Bombyx mori: one gene and its partners. The main gene of each other region encodes a partner of the protein of the gene in region 2 in a complex. Links are inferred from orthologs where the notes say so. Each region holds a gene or a part of one and is shown on either strand. Other genes may lie near its edges.

Region 1 (2,985 bases), on a different chromosome or scaffold from region 2:
GACATCAACGCGACGCCAAAGGAGGGGCGGGTCATCGAAGCGAAGTCCGTGTTCACCGGCCACACGGCCGTCGTCGAGGACGTCGCGTGGCACTTGCTACACGAGTCGCTCTTCGGATCCGTGGCTGACGACCAGAAACTGATGATATGGGACACCAGGTAACACCAACAACTAACTTTTTGAGGTTCTTTTTTATTGCCCCTTGTAGGCAGACGAGCATACGGCCCACCTGATGGTGAGTGGTTACTGTCGCTCACGAACGTCGGCAACGCGTGGGGCAGAGCCCAGCCACAGCCTACCATTTGAAAAGTTACAATTGTAAATATAAAACATTATAAATGAGACAAGATCAAGACATACTGATTATGTAATTGTGAATTGTACAATACTTATTAACTAAGAGACCTATTTAAGACAATCATGATAATAAAATCATTAGTTTGAATATGAAAGTGCTTTTCCTATCATGGCATGATAACACAAACAGGAGGTTGTTTTCACATATTTCTGCAGATAACTTGTATTTGGTATTGACCTTCATTACTTGTTAATAATTACCTTTAATTATTTTTTTATGATATAATGACACATTTCGTTTAAGTGTAATAATGAGGTATGCATATATGGTAGTAATAATTAGTAAAATAGAGCACAATTATGTTGTAATTACAGATGTAATAATACATCGAAACCATCTCACACAGTGGACGCACACACCGCTGAAGTTAACTGCCTCAGTTTCAATCCCTATTCAGAGTTCATTCTTGCTACTGGCAGTGCGGATAAAACGGTAATGTTACTAATTTTAATTCAAATATACACATCTAACAAGTCAAAACTTCCATAGCGTTTTGCTTATTATTTAATTGTAATATTTATATATCAATTTTTTGTAATTTAACGAAACTTGTGTTCACAAGCTTTGAATTCAATCAGCTCATGATACACTGAAAAATGAAACTACAGTTTTAATATCATAATAAACTAAATAATAAATAGCCTATCCTTAATAATAGGTTAACTACTATAACTATAAATATAATTTCCGTCTAGGTTGCGCTTTGGGATCTACGCAATTTGAAATTAAAGCTACACTCGTTCGAGTCGCACAAAGACGAAATATTCCAAGTACAATGGTCGCCACACAACGAAACTATTCTCGCGAGCAGTGGTACCGACCGAAGGTAAAATTACAGATAATTGAATTTTCAAACTTTTTGTTACATCTTGTGTACAGACAAGAACTCTCAAAATAATAGTATTAAACGGTAGGTAAAATAAAATCAACACCCATAAAAAAAACAGATATGGAATTGAAGTTGCAAAGTAAATATAAAAGCTCAGACTTCTTGTGGGCTTACAGCCACTTTTTGGGCTGATTTTAAAAATCGTAAACATGTACATCTAATTTTTACGCTTTAAATTTGGGAAAATGCACAATACTCAAGAACTGGGTTTGCTGATTGCTGTACGAGACAATAATTATTATGAAAGTTACTTCATTACTTGTTTTTTTAGACTCCATGTATGGGACTTGTCAAAGATTGGCGAGGAACAGACAGCTGAAGATGCAGAAGATGGACCCCCAGAATTATTGTTCATACATGGAGGACACACCGCTAAGATATCTGACTTCTCATGGAACCCTAATGAACCATGGGTCATCTGTTCCGTCTCTGAGGATAACATTATGCAGGTATGCTAAAATTATAGGTTGAATGTTTTTAGCTTAGATAGGCACCTTTTGGGAGAAAGCTGTCAGAAAACATTAATATTATAGTTGATCTTAATGCATAAAATATAATTGCTTTGCTAAAATATAATTTCTCCCTAGCACATAATTATTTATTGGTGTTAGAACTTCTTGTGAGTACACGTGGGTAGGCACCACCACCCTGCCTATTTCTGCCGTGAAGCAGTAATGCGTTTCGGTTTGAAGGGTGGGACAGCCGTTGTAACTATACTGAGACCTTAGAACTTGTATCTTAAAGTGGGTGACGCATTTACTTTGTAGAGCTCGTCCACATATATATGCCATAAAAAAAAAAAAAAAAACTACAAATCTAGGCTATTTGATAAATATTTCGGCACATCATCTCGGATCCTTCTAACAGTGCTTTTAGGTACCCCAAGCACCGGTCATCGTTCTTGTCGAACCCGTCGCTTGCGACTCACTGAGTTTCTCGCCGGATCTTTTCAGTCGCGGTTCAGACTTGGTGGTAGCTTCTTAGAATAGGTAGAAAAAAAATATATATTTGGTATTTGTTGTACATTGATTCGGTGCGGTATCTGTACAGGTGTGGCAGATGGCTGAGAACATCTACAACGACGAGGAGCCGGAGACGCCGGCGTCGGAGTTAGAGTCGGCCGTCAACGTCAACCACGGCTAGTCGTCCTGTCTGTACGACTCATGTGCTCTGTGGAGAGTGTGAAATAACAACATTGTTTAACATTCACTTTTTAATCGTTAATCTGTGAGATAACTCTGCTACAACCGAACAATAATGGGGTACAAGTTTTCGGAACTGTTCTTAGTTCTATAGAATTTTTATCATGTAAACGTTATACAAAACACTAAAATCTTGTTGGAAAAAATGACATTTATTAAAATGCTTTGTAAATATCATTATGAAATTTAACTAACTAATGATCTGCTATTCTAGCTAATTATCTGAGTTTTTTCGAAATATTACAAACAGCATTTTTTACTTCTAATTGAAATTACCACAAAATTTTATATTTTCAATATTTAAATGCAAAAAGTTGTCCCGTTTTTCATACTTTTCAAACTATTTGACAGTAAACAGTATATTAAACATACAAGTATAGATGTAGTGAGAAACTATTTTCCTTCGGGAAAACTCTTGATCTTTATCGGAATACGATGACACCCGAACTGTCAATGAATGATCGTATTAAATGAGTGACATTTTCATATCCATTAATAAGGAACTTTATTGTTTAGTCTCAAATGTCAAAATGACA
Region 2 (4,016 bases):
GAAGGGACTGCTCATATTCAGTCGTAAAAACCGATAGTCGTAACAACCGGTGATGTTTAATGTGTATCGTGCAAGTACAAACAAATCGATAGGGAATTATTGGAAAAATATATTTACATAATACGCGATTTTTCTTCAATATTAATTTGTTTTCTTTTTCTTTGCGACATTTTGAAAATGTCACGAATAACTCTACAAAGTTTTGGTGCGTCTTGTGTATAGATAAGTAACAAACTAACTGAAGAGATATGAAGAAGCGGGCTTTGACTATCGCATGCACGTGTTTTGTTTCTAAGAATTAGAAAAGACCCTACACTAAACTAAATCCTATTGTTTTCTTTCCTGATTTTAAAAGCCATTGAAGACAAATGTGGATACCTATTCAAATTGTTTACAAAACAGTTCAGCCGGTCGTTCTAACAGATCTAATTCTCCGAAATATTAGTTAAATGTGGTTGTTTTATGAGGTATGTCGTTATTACCAATATCGTATAAAGCAATATTTTTAATAAGGCGGTCATATGGCATTCAGCCGGGACCTTTGTTCTTGGTTATTATAACCGGTATGTTGTATTAAACGATGTCGCAGTAAACGGTTTTGACTGTATATATATTAAAAAGTATGTTTATTTCCATTTCTCTATGGAGTAAGAAAGGGCCAATTTTGTTTTTGTAAGTATGACAAAAAATATCAATGTTAAAGTACATGGTAAAATTTAAATTAATTCTTTTATTTCTCGTATACATAAGTAGCAATGACCAATCCCCATAATTATTTAATTTTTTTTACAAACATTTTTACAACAATATTAAATGTTTAAACCGAAACTATTCTTACATTCATAACTATACCTATGAGACCTAAGAACTCATATCTCAAGGTGGGTGCCGGCCTTTATGTTGTAGATGTCTATGGGCTACACTTAACAACAGGTGGGCTGTGAGCTCGTCCACCCAACTACGCAATAAAAAATAAAATAAAAAGTCTTAAATTTGAAAACCAAAAAAATTACCTTCACTTAACAGATCATCACGGACAGGATTGGTTATTAAAAATTGATTGCACAGAAACTGAAGAACTGTTAAACGATTTTCTACTGAAGTAAATGGATATTCACAACTGTTTAAAATTTTAATCACATTTTGATCAAAAACTTTATCACTTTCCACATAAATTCTAAGAACTTCTGGCCATGTCATGACATCTAATAAGAACAATGTAATGTTTACACTGTCTTTGTGATCTAAAGGTCCAAAATGAGTCTGTTGAGCGTCTTCTTCACGTAGCAATGCTTTAAGTAGCATCATATGTACTTCAATCAGCAAGTTACTTTGATCTTCACAGCTTATAGCAGCACAAAGATCTTCTAAGCGAAAAGGAGACAGTCTTACTAAGTGTCTGAAATGTCGCAAAACTTCATATACACTTACAACTTGAAAGACTAAATTTTGGGGTATAATTAGATCATCTGATGAAGGTGGTAAATCTAAGGGTGGAATTTGTCTTCCTTGTTGCAACCACAATGGATCAGGACTGGGAGGTCTGTTTGTTATAGTATTAGTTTTTCGCGGTGTTCCACTCGTTGTACTAAAGCTGCTCACAGAAAAATCACTATCGGTCGCCGCACCATCTTCGCTTCCTTCTGAACTTTCACTACCGCGCTCTTCTTCGAGCTCGGATTTGTCACTATACTCATCACCAAAGTCAGAACCGTAATGATATTCAGATTCATGGTAATCGGCTGCCTGTGGATTATAACCCCGTTTCGAGTAAGAATTGGATATTCCGCCTCTTTTACTTTTATGTGTTTTACGATCTTTTCGCTTTCTCGTACTTCTTCTGCTAATATCACTACCTTGAGGTGAAGAAGCTCTAGACGCCGACGGAGTGTTTATCATAGAAGTGTTCACAGCATTTTGTTGCAAATATTTTGGTTTTTTCAATAAATGAAATTGGAATTTTCTATTTTTTTCAAAACTACTAGATTTTGGGGGCCTCCCGCGTTTTTTTGCCCCCCTTCCTGACATAATTGAGCTGTCAATTGTACACTTTCCAGCACGTGCACCGTGAAAACATAGTTTTGTTTACAAAAACACAATCACGGTAATAATGCATTTCAGTTTATCCAAAGCCCAACGTTGTCATGTTCGGAGGCGTTTATGATGCTTCATGAAATGTATCACTATATGTCCGTAATTGGTTACTGTTTACAAAGTTTTTCACAATAAAATGAAATGTCAACTCATTCACTTAATGAAAATCAATTAGAGATGTACAAATTTGCCCAACACATCGAAAACGCAATGACGCGAGGGCTAGAACTAATACATGCAATTCTAAAACGCTAAACACCGACTTCCTATTGGTCGATTAACGAGACGCCATATCGTTTTCGTAATTTGTTGTAAAATGAAATTCTTGACATCTCCTAACATATAAGATAATGATTTAGACACCGATAAAACTTTAATTACTTGTAAGTCAATAAAAATCTACTTTCATTCATACAAATAATACTCGCTAATAACAGCAACTTCAAAATATAACTAAATCACTTGGTACGCGGCCATTTTCTACTTCCACGGAACAATCACTAATGTGTCTTATTATATTTTTTAATATTCAATCACCATATTTCTATGTAAGTACAATTTTTGTTAAAATTTAATTATTTATGATAGTTATTAATATTCATAATTTCTTTTCAAACAGACGTGTTAGACGCTTAAAGAATAATTTAGCCGGAAGTTTCATGTAGTTTGTCTATGATAAACATTGATTTTCATTATACCAACATTACGAATGCTTTACTTCAGGATTCTAGGCATGTCAAGCATAGCTTGTAGGACGTAATGTATACGTAATAACACAATACATAAATATAATAATAAAATGTCAGAATTCGACCAAAAATCAAACAGAAACTTAGTTTAAGTTTGAGAAACAATTCCATTCGTTGCTGATGCCAGATTCACTTTAACCCTAGGGGCTTAAAAGGGTTTCCACATAAGATGCCACAAGAAGAATTCGACATTTTAGTAAAAAAAAAGTATAGTAAAGAAGGATATGTCATTGTATTATTTTAATGTGTCGATCTGTTTTAAATAATAAAATAGGTTGCTTGAATTTTGAATCAAACGAAAAAACAATTACTGTTTACTTATTTGAATATTTCTGAGACAGCGTATTGACTTTGTCGTGCAAATCAACCGACTTGTATTTGCATGCCTGGTAGTAGTGTGTAACGTTCGATCCCTATGATGCACAATATAGGTATGCCAGAATAGGGATCTGATGTGACCCCCATAGATCAAATGTTGGGTCTTCTTCGTGTGCCGATTTTGGGAGTAGTGAGGAGACTAAAGTCACGTCTTGCGAAAAACCATCTAGACGATGAAAGGCCATACTCCCCGATTCTGTTCTGACCCATTGGGATATCCAGTGGAATGCATGTAACGCCATATAGAAGGGCTTCAACACCCCGATCCAGAGTTGTAGGCCGACACCGTATAAAATAGTCAAATTAAATGCATAACCATATTTATGAAGCAATAACTACCTATTTTTCCTATATTTTAGACTAAGAATTTTACAGTTTTACGGTTTACATACAAATTGTCAATTTCGGAATATAGTTTGAAAATTCACAGAGGTATTGTTTTGAGTTGTCCATTGATCTATGGATAAATAAAGGAAACGTAGATCATAGCTATAGTGACCATTAATTTGTATCAAAAAACAGGGCAAAAGCAAACAAATCCTATTATTACCTATAAATAAATAAAATATAAATACGTTTATAAACACAAGATCGGTTATTACAAAACAATGGTCCTATAATAGGCCCATATTCAGCCCGAACTGAGCGCTGCTTGAACTATAATACATTAATACACTTATTCATTAGCGAGCGATGTTTACACTAGTCGACTAGTCTACTCTATCGGCAAAACAGGTTGTGTTTTAGGCTAAAGCTTGGTCCAAAGGTAATGGACACATAATTTTTTTCTACACT
Region 3 (3,500 bases), on a different chromosome or scaffold from region 2:
AAGCTATTGCTTCACCAGTTCTTATGTTTCAATATTCAAAGTACCGTTTATGTGTCTGTCACATTTATAACTTATTATAACCTCTTTAATATTTATATTGTAAATTATATAGAGGTTACATAAGTACTAAACACCCAGACAAATAGCAAACAAACCTGTTCTTCACACGAATTTTTACTCGATGTGGGAATGTAACCCACTACCCTCTTCCCAACAGTCATAGCTGCCAGCTACTGCACCACCGAAACGTAATCTCAGTAACTTAAATAAAACTTGATAATCGTTTGGCCTTATTCAGCATTTAGCAGAAATCTGAAAAACTTATCGTTTTTTTCTACCTAAGCCGAGAGCCTTGAGAGGCTATATCAGCGTAGCCTTAACTAGAAGGTGAGCTCACGGGGCTCAAACCTGACGACGTTGCTAACACGAACCCTAGCAAGAGCCGTGGTTCGCAGAATCTACCGCCGGATCGGAAACGCGACCCACTGAGAAGATCGGCGAAAAACTCAGTGGACTGTGTCTGAGGGTTAATTTACTCGTCGAGCCCTAGGTCGCAAGCGACGGGCTCGACGAGAACGATGACCGGCTTAAATTGCATGGATATATTTGTTTGGTGACAACAATACTAGCGACAGGGCTCTTTTGCCAATCACTACCGCATTTGATACATTTTGACCTTGTTAATTTGATTGCGAACCGGTTTGAATGTCCTAAATCAAAGAGTAGTTTTACGTTCTCCTCAAACTTAATGTGGCAATGTTTCGGTATGTATCGAAATCAGTGATAGCCTATTGTGTTATATTCGTAAGCTTACGCAGATGGGAGAAAATGATTACGGCTTATAAATCGCCAGAGTCGAAAACATCATTATGTTGAAGCCATCCGACATGACGTTAAAGACTCAATAGTAAAACTGCTGTCGCATCTTTGAAACCACTTCGACTGCTTCGCGGTAAAAATAGGCAAGATGGTAGTCTCAACCCGGGTGGGTTATCCATACAGCCCATCACCAGTAAAAACTGGTTATCGATCGCATCAAGCTGGTAAATTTTTTTATTGCTTAGATGTGTGGACGAGCGCACAGCCCACCTGGTGTTAAATGGTTACTGGAGCCCATAGACATCTACAACGTAAATGCGCCACCCACCTTGAGATATAAGTTCTAAGGTCTCAGTATAGTTGCAACGGCTGCCCCACCCTTTAAACCGAACTGCTTCACGGCAGAAATAGGCAGGGTGGTGGTACCTACCCGTGCGGACTCACAAGAGGTCCTACCACCAGTAAAAATCTTCTTTTACTATAGCAACGGAAAGAGGGTAGTGCTATATTAAGCCTGTAAATGTCGAGCCTCGCTAGGTTAATGAACTCGGCTACACGACCGGTCACCGTTAGATATTGAGGATCTATAAAATTCTTAATACAACACGAAAAAAACATTAACGTTTTTAATTAACAATATCGATTTTAACCATCGTTGATAGAATACGACCGCGTACATGCTCGTGTTCAGATAATATTAATGAGTTTAATATCAAAGAGAAAAGCGATTAAAAATCTATTTTGCTTGTGAAGTTTGAGGCGGAAATTGAAAGTGTATCGAATGAATAATGCGATCGTCCGCTGTCATGAAATGTTTCGATACGTTTTCATATCTAACTAGCTGACCGGGCAGACTTCGTAGTGCCTCAATCAATAAAAGACCTAAACGTTTGTATAAAATAAACTTAAAACAAACAAAACGGAATCCGTCTGACGGGGGACACATCAAAGAAAAAACAAAATTGTTATTTTTATTTAATTCCGAGCATTTTCATATTTATATACCTTTTAAACCTTCTCTGAACGTCCACAAATAATTCAAGACCAAAATTAGCCAAATCGGTCCAGCCGTTCTCGAGTTTTAGCGAGACCAACGAACAGCAATTCATTTTTATATATATATATAGATTTGAAATCGTTTAACAGGTTCACGAATTTTGGAAGAGTCTCATCAGCGGCAACGTTCCTGACGCAACCGATATAAACAAGTACGTGTAAATAGATTTGTTTTATTGTTTGGACGTGTGGATTAGCTCTTGTCGGTTCTGGTATGGGTACCGGAATACATGTATATTAACATTTTTTATTTTTATTTATTACTTAGATGGGTGGACGAGCTCACAGCCCAAATGGTGTTAAGTAGTCACTGGAGGCCATAGATATCTATAACGGAAATGCGCCACCCACCTTGAGATATAAGTTCTAAGGTCTCAGTATAGTTACAACGGCTACCCCACCCTTCAAACCGAGACGCATTACTCCTTCACGGCAGAAATAGGCAGGGTGGGGGTTCCTACCCTTGCGGTCCTACCACCAGTAATTACGCAAATTATATAATAATTTTGCGGCTTTGATTTTTATTACACGATGTTATTTCTTCACCGTGGAACTCAATCGCGAACATTTGTTAAGTACATATTCCATTAGAAAAATTGGTATCCGCCTGCGGGATGCGAATGCGTTAGCGAACGTCTGATCCTTTAGGCCACGACTACTTAAGCCAGCTGCGGATCGCGATTTTTTTTTTTATTGCCCTTGTAGGCAGAGGAGCACACGCCCCACCTGATGGTTAGTGGTTACTGTCGCCCATGGACTTCAGCAATGCCAGGGGCAGAGCCAAGTCGGTGTCTACCGATCTTGAGTCAGTGGTAGTTGCATTCACGAAGCAGCTGCCATCGAGCTGTTAGGTCTCCTTCGCAGCTATTCACAGATCCCATTTCTCCCGGTGAAACTGGAAAGGCCTTCAATAGGTCATCCTTTTTTTTTTTTTTTTAACGCTGGGGAATCCATTTACGGATACTCGGTCCGGGGGGGTAACGAACCGGGTTATGTCGGACTCCGGCGCCTCCTGAGAGGAAGAGGGGGACGAGAAGGTCCCCGAATTCCTCGCAAGAGACTACGCCTTGAAAAAGGCGCGCGAAGCACTTGCCCCGCAGAACGACTACCGACTAAACCCCATCGAGCTCCACCACACCGGCTACACCAGACCTACGGTACCGCAGTGCGCGCCGAAAGTCCGCCTTCGCCGGTACCCGTCCTGATGATAAGACGGGAGTTCATCTCCGGGAAAATCCCGAAGGACGTCATTTCGGGAGATATACCGTGGGCGGCGCACAGGAGCCACCTTGCACCGCCCCACCACTTCAATAGGTCATCCTTCCCAAAATCAAATGTTTTGCGGTGTATCTCATGAGAATGTATCTCGTTCGCAGAATGAACGTGTCAGTGAGCGGCAGCGTGGACCGGGCGGAGCGCTCCGAAGCCGCCGCGGTGTTGGCGAAGGCTCCAACGCTCGGGCAGCCCGCCGCCATACCGCAGACAGGTAACCGCACATCTCTATACTCTCCTTTTTTTTAAGGGATTTTATGACCTGGTAACTAAGACCTTTAGGTCATGTCTTATTTTAATTTATATTCTAATTTTTATGAATAACTAGCGACCCGCCCTCGCTTCGCTTCGGA

The links. Proteins that work in one complex are often made in the same cells at the same time.
Region 1: nucleosome-remodeling factor subunit NURF301 (region 2) and chromatin assembly factor 1 p55 subunit share a complex: the UniProt entries of both Drosophila melanogaster proteins name them as parts of the NURF complex. The link is inferred for Bombyx mori from reciprocal best matches to the Drosophila melanogaster genes E(bx) and Caf1-55.
Region 3: nucleosome-remodeling factor subunit NURF301 (region 2) and uncharacterized protein LOC101741235 share a complex: the UniProt entries of both Drosophila melanogaster proteins name them as parts of the NURF complex. The link is inferred for Bombyx mori from reciprocal best matches to the Drosophila melanogaster genes E(bx) and Nurf-38.

The regions. Positions count from the first base shown.
Region 1 is NC_085109.1:4,082,580-4,085,564, forward strand, and holds part of chromatin assembly factor 1 p55 subunit, read left to right. Parts: coding exon 1-158; intron 159-672; coding exon 673-790; intron 791-1,053; coding exon 1,054-1,184; intron 1,185-1,518; coding exon 1,519-1,696; intron 1,697-2,297; coding exon 2,298-2,390; 3' UTR 2,391-2,985. UniProt on the Drosophila melanogaster protein: Core histone-binding subunit that may target chromatin assembly factors, chromatin remodeling factors and histone deacetylases to their histone substrates in a manner that is regulated by nucleosomal DNA.
Region 2 is NC_085116.1:8,932,204-8,936,219, forward strand, and holds the start of nucleosome-remodeling factor subunit NURF301, read right to left. Parts: upstream 2,801-4,016; 5' UTR 2,029-2,800; coding exon 1,014-2,028; intron 1-1,013. UniProt on the Drosophila melanogaster protein: Histone-binding component of NURF (nucleosome remodeling factor), a complex which catalyzes ATP-dependent nucleosome sliding and facilitates transcription of chromatin.
Region 3 is NC_085115.1:3,623,170-3,626,669, reverse strand, and holds part of uncharacterized protein LOC101741235, read left to right. Parts: intron 1-1,965; coding exon 1,966-2,027; intron 2,028-3,251; coding exon 3,252-3,361; intron 3,362-3,500. UniProt on the Drosophila melanogaster protein: Component of NURF (nucleosome remodeling factor), a complex which catalyzes ATP-dependent nucleosome sliding and facilitates transcription of chromatin.